Oryzias latipes: one gene and its partners. The protein of the gene in region 1 purifies or fractionates together with the protein of each later gene. This does not show direct contact. Links are inferred from orthologs where the notes say so. Each region holds a gene or a part of one and is shown on either strand. Other genes may lie near its edges.

The links. Proteins that work in one complex are often made in the same cells at the same time.
Region 2: the proteins of llgl2 (region 1) and dcaf1 purify together in Homo sapiens (co-immunoprecipitation; 3 studies listed by BioGRID and IntAct, counting the BioPlex papers as one, with this or other methods). This does not show direct contact. The link is inferred for Oryzias latipes from reciprocal best matches to the Homo sapiens genes LLGL2 and DCAF1.
Region 3: the proteins of llgl2 (region 1) and partitioning defective 6 homolog gamma purify together in Homo sapiens (affinity purification with mass spectrometry; 4 studies listed by BioGRID and IntAct, counting the BioPlex papers as one, with this or other methods). This does not show direct contact. The link is inferred for Oryzias latipes from reciprocal best matches to the Homo sapiens genes LLGL2 and PARD6G.
Region 4: the proteins of llgl2 (region 1) and partitioning defective 6 homolog alpha purify together in Homo sapiens (affinity purification with mass spectrometry; 5 studies listed by BioGRID and IntAct, with this or other methods). This does not show direct contact. The link is inferred for Oryzias latipes from reciprocal best matches to the Homo sapiens genes LLGL2 and PARD6A.

What each region holds. Positions count from the first base shown.
Region 1 is NC_019877.2:17,364,320-17,368,556, forward strand, and holds the start of llgl2 (lethal(2) giant larvae protein homolog 2), read right to left. Parts: upstream 2,848-4,237; 5' UTR 2,598-2,847; intron 2,568-2,597; exon of another isoform or gene 2,285-2,567; intron 2,182-2,284; exon of another isoform or gene 2,127-2,181; 5' UTR 2,041-2,126; intron 1-2,040. UniProt on the Homo sapiens protein: Part of a complex with GPSM2/LGN, PRKCI/aPKC and PARD6B/Par-6, which may ensure the correct organization and orientation of bipolar spindles for normal cell division.
Region 2 is NC_019865.2:16,283,897-16,287,904, forward strand, and holds the start of dcaf1 (DDB1- and CUL4-associated factor 1), read right to left. Parts: upstream 2,852-4,008; 5' UTR 2,616-2,851; intron 727-2,615; 5' UTR 709-726; coding exon 596-708; intron 519-595; coding exon 442-518; intron 353-441; coding exon 279-352; intron 180-278; coding exon 66-179; intron 1-65. Other genes in the region: protein SSUH2 homolog, read right to left, coding at 3,204-3,344, 3,432-3,539, 3,754-3,859, 3,984-4,008. UniProt on the Homo sapiens protein: Acts both as a substrate recognition component of E3 ubiquitin-protein ligase complexes and as an atypical serine/threonine-protein kinase, playing key roles in various processes such as cell cycle, telomerase regulation and histone modification.
Region 3 is NC_019869.2:23,943,873-23,947,906, reverse strand, and holds the start of partitioning defective 6 homolog gamma, read right to left. Parts: upstream 2,852-4,034; 5' UTR 2,557-2,851; coding exon 2,485-2,556; intron 1-2,484. UniProt on the Homo sapiens protein: Adapter protein involved in asymmetrical cell division and cell polarization processes. May play a role in the formation of epithelial tight junctions. The PARD6-PARD3 complex links GTP-bound Rho small GTPases to atypical protein kinase C proteins.
Region 4 is NC_019864.2:4,759,464-4,763,653, forward strand, and holds the start of partitioning defective 6 homolog alpha, read left to right. Parts: upstream 1-1,339; 5' UTR 1,340-1,659; coding exon 1,660-1,728; intron 1,729-4,190. Other genes in the region: putative proline-rich protein 21, read right to left, coding at 1-1,236. UniProt on the Homo sapiens protein: Adapter protein involved in asymmetrical cell division and cell polarization processes. Probably involved in the formation of epithelial tight junctions.

The DNA.
Region 1 (4,237 bases):
GATTATCAGTTACCTGCAATGGACTAGTGGTTTAAGCAACTTAACCTTTTTCTCATGCTGGAATTGTGAGTTCAACTCCAGGCTTTACACACCCATTTCTTTGCGTTTGTTATCCTTTTCTTTTGCTGACGACTTTTAGCAACAGTTTTATTTTGATTGTAGTTAGTTTCTTGTAGCTCTTCCTCATCTTTTTGGTTTTTTACAAGTATGCATTACATTAATAAACTATAAATATTGGAGACAATAAAGAAATCTCTTTTTGTAGTCATCAAATTACCAAACCAACATGCTGTTACAACAGAAACGCTTGATTCCCATTTAAACATTGAAAGAAAAAAAAGACTTCAAGGATGAACACATCTTTGGTAATAAGTCTATGTACAGCAACATGTGTTAAGTCGCCCTTGTTAGGAGACAGACAAAGTCAGTTTCTCAGTGCTCACAGGTGGTGTAGTGCAGTGTTTTTCAACCAGTGTGCCGCGGCACACTAGTGTGCCGTGGGAGATGGTCAAGTGTGCCGTGGGAAATTGCCCTCATTAACTGATTTAACAACATTTTCCATCTCCAGGATTTCAGTTCTTTGTTCATCCCTACATGATAAAACACTAAGAACTTGGGAATATGAAAGATCGTAAAATACTTTTTTCTTTGTGTTTATTTGATTCTATTAAATACATTTTCATAAGAATGACTGTACCACGATTTAGCCGCAGCTTCAGCTGCGTTAGGAAAAGTTCCGCCCCTTTAACTGTCTCCACCAATCATTCTTGGGATCTTAATCACATGTCATCAGTCTGACCAATCAGAAGTGGTTAAAGTCACCTTTTCCTTGTTCTGAATTCTGCTGAAAAAGTCGCTCAGTTCTAAGAAAAATACCAGCCAAAGCTCGTCTTTAGCGGTGTAGCTTTCCACAGAATCCGGTGTCAGACCGAGGAACAAGTGAACAAGACAATGAAGCTCAGAGACGCTAGTCTCTCTGCGTTCGGCGGATAATTGAACTACATCTCCCATGATGCATTGGGGTAAAGCGACACTGAGCGTCTGGGCGCACGACTCTCTCCTCTTAACGTCCTGAAACCACAACGACCACAAATCAAACAGTTTTTAAATCGTTTGACTTAACTTTTATTACATCTTAAAAATACAGCTGCAGCTTCCAGCTTTTTCTGCCACAATTATCACAAAAATGCACTGAGATTATGGAGGGACTGTAGATCTATACAGACCGAATTTCTCCTTTTTTTTTTTTTTTGAACGCCGGAGTGCCGCGGGATTTTTGTCAAGGTTGAAGTGTGCCGTGGCTCAGAAAAGGTTGAAAAACACTGGTGTAGTGGAATAATGACGTGCTTGCAATGCTTTTCTTGGAATTACCTGGGTTTGAATCCAGCGGTCGCATTGATACTTTTGAATACATGGTTAAATTTCATTAGGCAAACAAAACGTGATTTTAAATTCATATTAATATCTTCTTAAGAACAACTACAATGAAACCAAGAGTTTACTGATCAAGAAAAGTCTCAACAAAAAAGAAGAAGAGCAACAACAAAAACGAACTATGATCAAAATAATACTGTTGATAAAAGTCACCCAAAGAAAAAGAAACACGATGAGAAAAAAGTATATGGTTCTGCTGCTTAAACCACCAGGCTATCACAGACAACTGATGGTCACCGTTGGCCTAAGCCAATTTATTCAAACATTACAGCTTGTGAAACAACACAAGACGGCATAAATTACGTACTAGTACTACGTTTAAACGGGCGTAGAAATCGGCGATTTTTTTAAGGCCAAAATGGTGTCCTTATACCACTTTTCTTTGGGATTTTTATAACTTGTTTCGCTTGCCATATTGTCTTTGTAAAGTTCTTCAGACTCGTGGAGGTCCTGCAGGTTTGGGTTCAGAACCGGACCGTCAACTCTCCGAGGCTGCAAACCCCCCCAGATGGTTGACTCTGAACCTCGAGGACACGCCTGCAGCGGACACACCTTTCCGCAGACACAGTTCCGTGTTTTACGCAAGCAGCCGGAACATGAACTCACCTTTCCCCGCAGGTGAGACGTCACATCGCCAAGAGGGCCGCACACCCACTCTTCATGTCGGGTTTGCCGAGCGCGGTAGTGTCCCCCTGCCGAGTAAATGTGGTCGGAAACTACGAACTGCGAACCGAGCTAAAAGCCGAACTGTGAGAACAAGGAGAGCCGAACCGGTTGATGATCAAATCACAGAAGAAAACTGGAGGCTAAACTTCAGAAATCAGTTCACAACACAACAAACTAGCCAAACCTCACTCCTCGGGTTTCTCTCTTGTATCCAAATTGATTTAATTTGGTAAACAGAATCTACCATAACACGGGACCGAGGTTGGTTCTGGTTCTTTTGTTCGGAACCAGGACCCTGTGCCGCGTCGCGAAGGCTCTACCGATTTTATACATTAGGCAGTCCGCCCCGAACCCTCCATCTCGGCGGTACCAAGAAGACCCGAGAACGCCCAATACGTGGCCGTGACGGACCATTATAACTTAAGGATGACAGCACCGATATGATACACCTGCGGGATCAGCACTGCGGAATCCCTCTGGGCCCTCCCCCGACCCACCTGGTGCACCGCGGCAGTTGGTCCGCCGCTGTGAAAGAGACAGCCGCTGGTTCCAGTCCGAATCCCAGTGGTCCGGGACTTCTGTTCTTATACAGGGTTACAATTAAAGTGTCCAACTGCTGAGTCTGAACAGCGCTTTGCTGGTCCGGAACCTTCGCGCGTGTGGACAGTTTAAAACTCCGGCCAGGTTTGTCCGTTCCTCAGCGGCGGAAGGTTCGCTGCTTCCTGCTTAGATCTACTTCACTTCCCTGTTGACTCCGCCCCCTGAGGCATTCACTATCCTCCTGGAAATAGCAGCTTCGATGGATGCTCTGCTGATTTTCTTCTCCAAGACTGAAAAACAAAAACTTAAATTGTATCTTTTGTGACGACAGTAATATTAAATTTCTTTGTATTTTTCTGACATGAAAAACACTATTTTTAGCTAGAAAAAAGACTGAATAATAAAGGAGAACTGAAAGGTCTGATCTTCTGAAGCTGGAGGGGATATAACTGCATTCTGGGGAACATCTTTTTCCAGTAGCTTTGTCTGCATTCAGAATCCTGCATCTCTTCATGTGTCAGTTAACTTGATTACCTTTTCTTCTTGGTCAATCTATATTTCTGTCACAGCAGTCAATGATGCCCACATTTTAATTTAGGCTGAAATACAAGTAAGTGAATGTTCTGATCTGTGGTTGTACTTCAGAAGGTTTTTCATGACGATAAGCGGTTTGATTTAGACAGGTCTGCTGACAGTGTTCGGACTAATAGAAATAATAAAATACTAAAATGTAAGCAGGTAAAGTCTTCCTGTGAAACTGCTGTCAGTGCTGCTGTTAAGCCATAGACATGTTGAAATAGACATAGATATCTCCCAAATTGGATTCAACACAGATAACATAAAGCCCAACATAAGCTCAAAACCCTGAATGGCATTTGGGCGGAACAAGTAAAGTTTAAAGCCCTTATGGGTTCACCGATTGGTCAAAAGAAACCCACCCATAAATCAGTGCAATTTTGAGCTCCAATAAAATCAAAGCTATAGTACTTGAGAAATAATTTAATAAAGATAAACATAATATCCAAGAAACCTGGATATACAAATGTCTTTTTTGGTATAAAATTAAAAATTTTAACATGTATGTAAAAGAAATCTAATTCTACAACCTGCCTTCAGTGTTTTCTGGTGAAACTGCAACATTTGAAACATTTTTTATTATTTCAAACACAAACTGAAAATAAACACAAGAGTTAAAAATAGGAAAATAAAACAAAACAATGTGCTTGAAAAGGAGTGGGCAGAAAAATTGTTTTTGTTTGGTCCCACCCCTTTTTAAAACAGCTGCTGCTGTGCATATTTCTATTTACAGTTTTTCTTAATCAAATCATTCAATTTACCTTCTGTGTGACACCCATGCAAAAGAGACACTTGCTTACTTGTTTTTATTGATTATTTCTAGCCTTGTAAAGTTCCATCAGTTACATCTTGTATGTTTTTTTAAATACATGTAAACGTTTGCCAATGAGTTATACCGTTAGAGGAGACACGCCCGCTTGGGAAGCCTGGCTGACTGTGGCAGAACGCGACGCCATCTCGGTGAGGTCGTCAGCGCCCATATGACAATGCTTTCTATAGCCTTTAGTGGCATCTAAGTAGC
Region 2 (4,008 bases), on another chromosome or scaffold:
ATTTTGAAGTAAGTTTAAAAAAAAAAAAAAGAAACACATTGGCAATGAAGTCAGAGACAACAAACCTTTTCTTGAAAAACCACAGCTGTCTCTAATCCAGGCATGATGTTCTGCAGCAGACGGCAAGCTGCTGCATTGAGGGGGAATTCCCTGCTCGTCATCACATAGTTGTTCACCAACTAAAATACAGACGTTTTAAAATGATCTTCTGAGTAGACTATAGAATATGCTTTAACTTTTACAAGAAAAAAAGAATACATTTGCTCATCCATTCTTACAGTGTTCATGAAGTCATCATTCTTGAACAGGATCTTCAGTAGATGCCCTAACATACATTCAGGATCAGCTCTCCCTGGTGGTCAAAAGGGAAAAATACAAAAACATAGAAGAAACTTTAAACTTGTATTTGAGCAATTGTTTGTATTTTTCTCTTCTCCATACCAGGATGCCGATCATCAAACGGGTCGGGGTCTGCTTTGTGGTACTCCTCTGTCTCCTTTTCAACAAGCTCAGATATTCTGAAAGTTACCGCACATCAAGAGATTTAACATCACCTTTAACATCATAAAACACAAAAAATCAGAGACGCACTTACTTTGTAAGAAGGTTAACCAGGTCTTGTGTGCTGCCGTGCTGTTCCCTTTCCCACTGCTCCAGCAGAGCAGTCAGCTCCGCTTTTGAGTCCACACTGGCGGGTGCTGACGCCATTGTGATGCCTAGAAGGGCCTGAAGAACAAAAAGTGCACCCCTTTATTTAAATTAACAAACGGGTAGGAGCATGAAATCAGACAAGTATTGCACTGATAACAGATTTTTTTGCGCCCTCCAAGAACTGGTGACAAATATAACTATTTATCTTAACAGGCTGAATAAAGTCAATTAAACATCCAACGAGATGAACATTAAAACAGTAGGCTGAAATTCCATTCAACACTTATAAACTTTGTGTGAGGAACTGCCTCTGAGGAAGTATGGTGACTTTTCACAGGTGCAACTGGAAATACTCAGAACAAAACGGTTAAAGACTCAAAGACCCTCTCCGATCATCTTTCATTCCATTTTAGAGACATTCCTAGTGGTCTTTTAATTATGATGATGCCATGTTTTACTTAACACACACAAAAATACAAAAAACCTGAGTCACTTTTTAGGACAGTTTTAGTTTCATACTCGGAAACACATTTTTAAGCTTATTTGTTTCTTAATGAAAAAAATGCCACATAATGTTAAAAACACCAAAAACTACGGTATTTTCATTCGTGTTAAAGTTTACCAGTGAAAATGAGGGCAAATCTTTAGCTAACTATTGGGCTCAAAGTGTCAATTTTGGAGCTTTAAAAAAAAAGGGGGGGGGGGGGTCACATAATCCACTAAGGTCGGGTGCACTGAAGACTTGTTTTGGTGTAAACGAATCACGCAGAAAACAGGAACCGATAAACTCATGTAACTTTTTTGCCTGCTGGTAAATAAACAACCAGACACGTCCCTATATGACCTCAACTACCTGGTTTTTTTATTAACCCATGTAGTACTTTTTGTAATATTTCTTGTTGAAGGCATGGTTAACCCTTGTGCTATCTTAGATGACCCCACCCTTACTTTGACGTGTTCTCCCTACCATGACAAAGGTGGATAGAGGTGGAAAGATTTCATGTAATCCGTGGACACCAGTGAAGATCACAAGTCATTGAAGAAAAAAGGTTCAGTCAGAGCACTGTCTAGTGGGTCTAGATGACCCCACTCCCAATGGTAAAGTCCTTAGGATAACACAAGGGTTAATAATTACAAGAAAATTCGTCCTTTTTTAATTCTCTACTGGTAGCTTTTTTTAAACTCACTCTAATGATTTTTTGTAGCGATTTGTTCAGCACTTACTGTTTTCGGCAAGAATTAAACCTAGTAAGCAAGTCGAAAAAAGGGTTGCTTTTTCTGGTCATCTTTTTACTGCTTCCACCCGTCGTTGTTTTATTTAAATAGCGAATCGTTTTGATATTTTATTTCGACAGCTAGTGTTGACTGTTAATCGCCATAATAATGCAAGTCGTGTTTTTTAATTATCTCCTCCAAATGTTTTATCAAAAATCCAGTTAATATTTGATTTTGTATCACAAAAAAAGCGCCAGACACAAAGACTTGGGGGAAACAAACATTTCCGCTTCACTGCTTCATAACCGACTGTCTGCACGTGTGAGTTCCTCACGGGAATGCAACTGTCAAAGTTGACCCGAAGTTAATTGCTTATTAATCTTTTTAGAATTGTCATTTAGTCAGAATTGAAGTATAAGTTATTCATTTAAACGTTTTTAAAGACATTACTTTGTTTCTTTAGCTGTCCTGAGCAACACGAAAGTGCCGTGCTTCATGCGTTGTTGTTTGCTTTGTTGTTTGCTTAGCAAATACAGTTGCTTCACACGGCAGCTGAGCTAGCCTAAAGCGCTAGCTAGACACAATTGTCTCTTAAAACTCTACATTTGTAACGTACAATTGCTCACAAATTTCGGGAATTGAAAAACATCATGGTCAGATGTTTTAATGTCATTTACATTAATAAAAGAACTCGTATTTCAAAACACAAGTGGGCTTAGTACAAGTAAAAGCATCACAGATGAACCTACCTAGTGGTTAGCCAGAGCGCTAACTTTACCTTGCTCCTCCAAGTTCCTGCTTGATATCCTCGATATAAACAAAAAATCGACCTACCAAAATAAGTCCCAATTTAGCTGCTGTTTGAAGAATTATAATACATTGATTACAATTTTACCGGCGTCCCTTAATTCGCTTATTTTACAGCTTTCTGTTCACGGTTTATTATCATTATGGCGAACACGTTCTTGACGTCATTCAACTGCGACCGTCCATTGTTAATGACATCATTCGAAAAAATAAAACTCGTTTATTAGCATTTTTTATGAAAAATATAGTCAACATAAAATACAAATGCATTTAATGTGTAATTATTCAAATATAATAATTATTGAAATATAATAATTATTAAAATCATAATTGGAGATTGATTTAGTCAAAAGGTTAAATTGATAAAAGTCTCATTTTTTTCCTCCATTTGTCCCATATTTTCCCTTTATGCTTTGATTTCCACCGTAATTTCCAACTTATATATGGGTAAGTGATTTCAGTCAGTTTTACTGACCCACACATCCTGTGGCTTTGATTGCTAAAACAGAGCTCATCATCTGCTCCCACAATTACATTACAGAGCAACAACAGGTAGCAGGATAATTATCCGCACTGACTTTGAACTCATTTCCATAAACAAAATAAATGTGGGATTCCCCTTTCCATGTGTAGGTGACTTTTGTGACAGGGATCAGCTCGATGGTTTGGCGCTGAAAAGAAAATAAGGTTATTTTGAATGGATTTAATTGAGGAGATTTTGAATGAATCCAATTATACCAAAATAAATAAATAAACACCTGCCGCAAAACGCGAGATGTCTTAAAATATTTTCCCTGGTGTTCACTGACAAGACGCTGGGAAGCCTGTACCACAGTGGGATCTGGAAAGCCCATCACAGGGTACACCTGAAACAGTCAGTCACAAGCATAACATAAGCAACGGTCACTTCTTAAAATGTACATTTACTTAAGCAAAAAAATACAGAACTGATAAAAACAAAACAAAACTTCCAACTCAAGTAAAAGATTATTTTAAAAATGTAATGATTGTTTACTTGCATAAAAAACACCATTTATGACCAGATTGTATTCTAAAAAGACAGTTTAAAAGCACTGTTACCATGGGTTGGGAGTCTTTGAAAAGCTCCTTGCCAGACACTTCACGAAGATTTTCCATCTGAAGTCCACTGCGCTGTTCCACAACATAATCATCAGTGTTGTTAGTCCTGCAAGGAAATACAAAAACATAATCAATAATAGAAGGAAAATAAATGTTAACCGAATAAGATTATTATAAAGATTTCTCTTCTAAATATACAGTATAGATTGCTGCTTCACAGCTGTTCCAACCATTTCACAGTGAGGTTGATGAAGA
Region 3 (4,034 bases), on another chromosome or scaffold:
GAGCAGACCGACTAAACTTTGTTGAACAGGTGAGCTGAATGTTTATTGATAACGTTCCAAATGTCTGGAAGCTCATTTGTTTGATTTACAAGTTATTAAAGTTTTATTTATTGATGGTTGGTTTGCAGGATCACTGCAGCCCGATGAAGCCGTCATCGGGTGTCCCTGCAGCTGTTTGCTTGAATCCTTTCTTCCTCCACCAAAGACCAGATCTCTACGTTTGTGTGATGCTTCCGTCTGAGGAGGAGAAGCACTTTTTGCCTTTTTCAACGTTGTAATGCTAATAATAGACTATTTTCATTCATCTTTGTTTTTAATGATCAAACGGGTCGCTTCATCTGCAGGAGGGGGCGTATGTAACACTGTTTACTTCCGCATTGGTGATCGGATGACAGGTTCATGACGTAATGTGACAGATGAACTTCAGGTTATGTGAATGAAAAGGAGAATAAAGGCTGCAGCGGTCCTCTACACCCAAACGTGTCTCTGAGCTCCTTATTTTACATATGAAAGTCCGCTTTACTGACACCGAACCCCGGAAAGACTGCTACACGGAAAATAATCTGATTTTGAGTCGCCAAAAGACTCAGAATCTCTTTGTTTTAAACCTATAATCCTGAAATAAAGCTTCACAAAAGGCTCCACATATTTCCTCTTCAAGCTAGGCTCCGATAAACAGACAACTTCGGGGTTTTCTCCTTGTTAATCTATGACTTTTTTCCCGTAAATTTACGAGTTTTTTATCTCCTAATAAAATTTCTTTTTTTTGGTGGCCATAAAACTCTGTCGTAAACTCTTAAATACAAAGCCACTAGCTCACTAACATTAGCCATAACACAGAATATTCCTGAAAGACTCAACTTCACTGCTCGCGCGCAACATTGCGACTTTAATCTCGAAACTTTATTTCGACTTTTATCTCGACAGGACGAGTTTTTTCTCGAAACTTTGTGTCGAGTTTTTTCTCGTCATGACGAGATTAAAGTCGACATGACGACTTTAATCTCGTCATGTTGGCCAGAATTTTTTTTCCTCCCCGTGGCCCTAAAACTCCGTCGTAGAAACAAGACGTTTGTTTGTATAGCAAATTTAACACACCACAAAAACTCTAAATTTTAAAGAATGTTTCTTATCCCTGCATTTTTAGTTCTAAAATAATTATAGGGATTCTACTTCTGTTGACAAAGATATTTAAACAGAAAAGCCAATCATAACAAAACCACGTGGCAGACATGTTTATTTTTATGCTGCTTTAGCAAATGGATTCATGCCACTTATTTCCTTTCATGATCCTGCATGCTGTTCCTGGGACGGAATTTGGTTTGATGGCATAAAATAAAAATTGAGAATCTGAACCAAAAATTACAAAAAGTAATCGTGAAGGTTGAGTTTTGTCCGAACGAAAAAAGAAAAAAAAGGGGGGGGGGCAAAACTTGTGACGCAGTGAGTGAGTAATCCCAGCAATAATGCAAACATTTAAAACCACAAACAAATCATGGGCAGGTACACTCCCAGACAAGATATCAAAAGTCAGTTTGAAAAGATGTCATCCCAGGTTGTTTTTAGGGTCAATCCTGCAATAGCGGCCTGCTATCCGCCACCTATCAGAGGATCTGCTAACCATCTCACAGCAGGTCAGGTCGTGACCCCAGCACCCCACTAAAACTGTCTGGACAAAGATGAAAAAGTAAAAGCTTCTCTTAATAGAATAGGATTTTTCAGACATCCCAATTAGCTGTCAAAGCAGATCTACGGTCCTTGAAAATAAAAATAAAAATCAATAACGACTCCTGGTTAAATTCTACATTAGAAATTACTAAAAACAACATTTATTCAGAAAAGTAATACTTTTTTGGTAGTAATTAAATAAAAAGTCACACTTTTTATTTGCTTTTTTCAAAGGGGGAGGAAAACAAGTTTTCTTCCATCAGTTCCCCATTTAAAAAAAAAAAAATACAATTATTTTGATAGGGAAACCCCATATATAAACTAGCTAAGCTAATATCAAAGTGGAGCTTTCATAAACGACTGCAGCCAATTACATAACTGGGATTATTACACAGCCTGGATTATTACACACTGCGGACAATGCGGACTGCTAACACTAATTTGAGTGAACCAACTTGATTAAACTAGTTTAAATCGTAACTGTAGGGTTAGCATGTAAAATTACCGTATGGCTAAAGCCAGGATTTGCTGCAAAACTGTCAAACAAGTTTTTTTTTTCACTCTGGAGCTACACAATGACAATCTGCCAGCAAGATAGTTTTTTTTAAATCATCACATAATACTAAAAAACCAAAACTCTAAAAACTTGTGACTAAAACAAAACAAAACAAAACCAAAAACGATGTCCGTGTCCATAAAGAAAAATGTACGACAGCGAGTACAGCTCCCGAAGATCCGTTACAGGACAAACAAGAACTTGTATTTTCGCTCCCAATCCCATTTTTCCTGTGAGTTCCCGTTCTCTCTCCCACTCACCTTGCTTTTCACTTCCACGGCGTTACAGTCGATGTGTCGCAAAGGCTGTGATTTATTAAAACTCCGATTCATTTTCTTGTGGTTGTAGTTTAAAGAGAATCCACACACACCAAAAAAAAAAAAAAAAGTTCAGCCGCCTCTGCCCGTAATGAGTGGGGCTCCGTTTCTCTGGCTTCTGCCGAAAATATCAGTCTTCTACTACCGCCTGCAGATATGAGGGTTTTTGTCTAAAGCTTCTCGTTCAAAAGCCGTTATTAAAACCAACTCTGCCCCGTCAAACGCGAGGGAGGACTGCGCCGTGGAAAAGATGGGAAGCGACTGACCGCGCTAAGTTGAGAATGCAAGTTTTGAAATGACATCAGCCCTCAGAAAAAAAAGCATCATGTTGCATTCAAGACCTGCTCGTAAATCATAGCTTCCTCGCAGCCACACCAATGATGTTCAAGTACTGCTAGTTAGAATAAATATGTACAGAAAGCGAATAGCAATGTAAATATAGCTTACCTGAAGTACACTATAGAATCTTAGTGCAATAATTATTCTAAATCCAGACAAAAATTGCGTAAAATGGACTAACAACGTCATGACGTACTTTTGCTATGACGCAGGAGCTACACAGATTAGCAATTAGGTTTTTTTTTTAAAAGAAAAACGAACATGCACAAAGGGACACAAAATACTAAATAATATTTTAGTTATTTTCCTTTTTAAGCACAATTTAGGTTCTAAACATTTATAGAAGACTAGTAGAATCAAACATGCAGAAGGCCTATGGCTTGATTTTGCTAAGTATATTTCATTTAAACATACCATTTCATTTGTCTTTGCAGCTGTGTTCATGGTTTGGTAGTGAACTTCTAAATCTCATTATGAATGAATGAGACTGCAAAAAAAAAAAACAAAAAGATAAAAAAAATATTGATGCTTCAAAACTATCTAACCGCCCAAGAAACTTCTATCTCTTGTTATCTTCATTCCATAACATTGAGGTGAACACAACCTGCAACCTAAAAAATATCACACCTTGTAGAACTTTACTAACAATCATCTTAATATTTTAAACATGGCAAAAAAAAAAAACATTCAAGTGAAACCAGAACTTTTAGACTGCTTGAACCATGCAATGGTGGATGTTTTTTTTATTTATCGTCCTGTGGTCATGTGGCGTTTTCTTTAATTGTGTATATGTTTTTTTTTTTTTTTACCTAGCAACAACTTATTTATAATTTTCTGTTTTTAGTAATGCACTTTTGGGGTATATTTTTTGTATGTATTATTTAATGTTGTTTTAGTCGTACATGTTATAATGGCAAATTGTTGTTTTAATGTATAAAAGCACTCTAAATGTCATTGTACCAGACATAATGACAAAAAAGATCTATCTATCTATCTATCTATCTATCTATCTATCTATCTATCTATCTATCTATCTATCTATCTATCTATCTATCTATCTATCTATCTATCTATCTATCTATCTATCTATCTATCTATCTATCTATCTATCTATCTATCTATCTATCTATCTATCTATCTATCTATCTATCTAT
Region 4 (4,190 bases), on another chromosome or scaffold:
GAAAGATGGAGGGTGGAGGATGGAGGGTGGAGGATGGAGGATGAAGGGTGGGGGATAAAGGATGGAGGATGAAGGATGGAGGATGAAGGATGGAGGGTGGAGGATGGAGGGTGGAGGATGGAGGATGAAGGGTGGGGGATGAAGGATGGAGGGTGGATGATGGAGGGTGGAGGATGGAGGATGAAGGGTGGGGGATGAAGGATGGAGGGTGGAGGATGGAGGGTGGAGGATGGAGGATGAAGGGTGGGGGATGAAGGGTGAAGGGTGGGGGATAAAGGATGGAGGATGAAGGATGGAGGATGAAGGATGGAGGGTGGAGGATGGAGGGTGGAGGATGGAGGATGAAGGGTGGATGATGGAGGGTGGAGGATGAAGGGTGGGGGATGAAGGATGGAGGATGAAGGATGGAGGATGAAGGATGGAGGGTGGAGGATGAAGGGTGGGGGATGAAGGGTGGGGGATGAAGGATGGAGGATGAAGGATGGAGGATGAAGGATGGAGGGTGGAGGATGAAGGGTGGGGGATGAAGGATGGAGGGTGGATGATGGAGGGTGGAGGATGAAGGGTGGAGGATGAAGGGTGGGGGATGAAGGGTGGGGGATGAAGGATGGAGGGTGGATGATGGAGGGTGGAGGATGAAGGGTGGGGGATGAAGGATGGAGGATGAAGGATGGAGGATGAAGGATGGAGGGTGGAGGATGAAGGGTGGGGGATGAAGGATGGAGGATGAAGGATGGAGGATGAAGGATGGAGGGTGGAGGATGAAGGGTGGGGGATGAAGGGTGGGGGATAAAGGATGGAGGATGAAGGATGGAGGGTGGAGGATGGAGGGTGGAGGATGGAGGATGAAGGGTGGGGGATGAAGGGAGGAGGATGAGGGATGGAGGGTGGAGGTCCTCTGGGTGCTGCTGCAGACATGGAGCCTTTCGTCCTAGGATGGAGGATAAAGGATGGAGGATGAAAGATGGAGGGTGGAGGATGGAGGGTGGAGGATGAAGGGTGGGGGATGAAGGGAGGAGGATGAAGGATGGAGGATGAAAGATGGAGGGTGGAGGATGGAGGGTGGAGGATGGAAGATGAAGGGTGGGGGATGAAGGGAGGAGGATGAGGGATGGAGGGTGGAGGTCCTCTGGGTGCTGCTGCAGACATGGAGCCTTTCGTCCATACACTGTGAGAATAGGGGTCGAGCAGGACGCTCTTTCTGCGGTCGGTTATTGGGTTCTGGGTTTCATCCATGTCGGTGCCTGAGCCTCAGGTGTGCTGCAGGTGTGAACTCTGTCTGCAATCCTCCGGCGGGAGGGGGTCGGGTTCGTCCGGAGACAGCAGCGACATGGTCCCGCCCCCTCCGCTGAGTCCTCCGGGCTGGTCGGGGGTAGGGTTGGGGGAGGGGGTACCGGATTTACCGGACTCCACCTGTCACGATCTCTGCGCTGTTCATCTGCGCGTGCACGCATGCGCGTCTGGTTGGGGGGACGGGCGCGCGCAGACACGAACGACATGGAGCTGACCGAACCGGTTCTGGAGCAGGAAACCGACAAGCCTGCTGCGCGCTCTCGCCGCCTCCTCCATGGTTAGACTGGGGCGTTCAGAGGAGGAAGCAGCCGTGTCCGTCCCGGAGGACGCTTTTCCCCGCAGCCGACCGGACCGCCGCGGAGCAGCATGTCCAGAGCGTCGCAGAGCCGCACGCCCACCCGGGCGGCGGAGAGCGTGGTGGAGGTCAAGAGCAAAGTGAGTGCGCGGCGGGAACGGCACCGAGGGTGGGGCGCATCCGCGGCGGAACGCGCGGTGCGCCTCCACCGCTCCGGTTCACGGTCACGCGCCGCAGATCCACAGAGATCTGGCGCGTGGATCGGTTCTGCTCTCGGTTCTGTTCAGCATCATCCGGGTAGAGCAGGGCCGGATCCGCTCATTCCAGAGCCCCATGGAGGCAGACATGGGGCCTCTGTGGATGAGCAGAGACCCCCCCCCCCCACACACACACACACACAGAGTTCTTTTAGCAGAAGCAACAACAAAACCAAACATGTGGAACTAAAAAAGAAGCCGGATCAGACAGAGAGAGTCTGAGGATGTTTGTCTGTGAAACCTTCAGGGAAATGAGGGATTCAGTTTCTAAAAGCTTCACCTCTGGTTGGTAACTTTCCTCTGGCTCTGTGATGCTTAAGGATCAAATATTTGTCAGGGTTTCCATAACGGTTTGGTAAATGGAAATAATTTGGACTTTGGAAACGGTTCTGCTAATTGTCACTTTGGAAAGGATGTTATTATTATTGTTATTGATTATTATTAAAATGTCACCTTAAAACATTGGAGATTAGAGCTGAAAACAGCAAAAACTCCAGTAAAAACTTTGTTTATCCATCAGTCAAAAACAGAAAATTCCTAATCTTTTGGGGGGATTTTCCCTCATCGTTTATTTTTTTGTCCCTCATCCGTTTATTTTCATTGCTCAGCAGATTTTTCTTCACAGATCTTTCTTTCCTCCTTTTCATGGCTAAATCTCAGTTTCTAAACACTTTGTACTTTTAAAAAATGAAGAGACCTTTTGTCAGATTGTAAAAGCTTTGGAGGTAAATCGTGTTGAAGAGCTTTACTTGTCAACATTTAGCAAGTGATGGAGGTCTGCGTCTGTGTGTGTGTGTGTGGGGGGGGGGGGGGGGGTCTGTAAATGAATGAGGAACATTTCAGAGTCAGGCTGTTTCCAGCTGTTACTGCTGGGTGTGAGCTGGTATGTTCAGGAGCCAGTTTAATGGCAAAAATAATCCATATTCATAAAATATGAATGTTGAAACCTTTGGGCTGAACCCCCCACCCCCTCCCACCGGCAGGGTGCTGGTGTGTTTTGGGTCCAGACGTCCAGTCAGGGAGAAGTTGTTCCTTTTGGTGGATGCTGTCTCTGGTATGACATTGTGCTGATATTATGGTCTGTCTCTGTCCTGAAGGGGTCAGCAGACAGCCTCAGATCCTCTGAGGAAAGCTTGGAACAGGATGTCCCGCCACGTGTCCTCTATTTAAAGTGTCGTTTTCGGAATGAAAAGACACTGACTGAGATAAAGGGGACTCAGGATCTGGTCTTCCGAGTTCACACAGTCCCCTAGCGGACTCCGCAGACCTTCTCCGTCCTGCTCATGACACGCACATCTGGAGGCGTCTGTGGGCATGAGGATTTGGTCGGTCCATGTTTTGAGAGCCAGATGTTGTCCTAAAAGCTGCAGAGCCGTAGAAGTCAGAGAAAAGCGTTCACAGCTGGAATTTACAGCGCTGTGCTCACCTGTCAGTGCCAAAGAACTGTGCTTATGTGGCCCAAATGTGTTCTGCTTTTCTTTTCATGTTGGCTGTTTGTTTCTCATGCGCAGGTGAGGGACAGTTGCACTAACTTCATCCCTGTGTACATAAAGACGTGCACGCTGGTGCACATCTGCTGGCTGCTAACAGATGAGCAACAGCAGGCTCATTCCAGCAGGAGATGCAAACTTGGAGTCGACTGAGGAGCTGTCAGCGTTTTTGTTCTTCATGAAGGCTGTGCTGATTCAGGACAGCTTTTTGCCCAAGTCCAGGCCCGTCATCTACGGTGCCAACGTCACGCTCAGCTGGGATGAGTAAGATGGCTCCAGCGTGTACACAGAAACAGCTGCCCATGCTTCAGTGTTTCCTTACACATTATTTTTGTAAAGTCTTTACATGACAAATGCAGTTTGTTCCAGCTTGTCGTGTTTTTCATGCAAAGCACAATTTTCCATAGACTTCTCTGGGAAATCAAGGAAATGAGGAAAAACGGAAGACAGAGAACTAGAGGGGAAGTGCCAGTAAAAACATTCAGGAAAATGTCTTTTTTGCAGTGAGCATACAGTCAGCTGTGGGATCTAAGTACAGGCGTATGCAGCAGCGTTCCCTCTGCAGGTCATTGGTTCTGTTGGGTTTGTTATGCACAGTACTACAGTCTTATCTGAATGATAAGACTTCACTGATTCTGTTTTTAAATCCATGCAAAGCCTAACCTGAAAAACATCTGTAAGTCTAAAACTGTCAGGAAATCTCAGGAAGAGGCACAGCTAACAGCCATTGATAACCATTAACCATTGAAATCCATGATATTGAATCACAATTAATCATATTAGCATATAATAAACTAGCTAACAAGTTCAAGATCTGAAATAACCTCTAAATTCATCCAAATCGTATCCAAAATT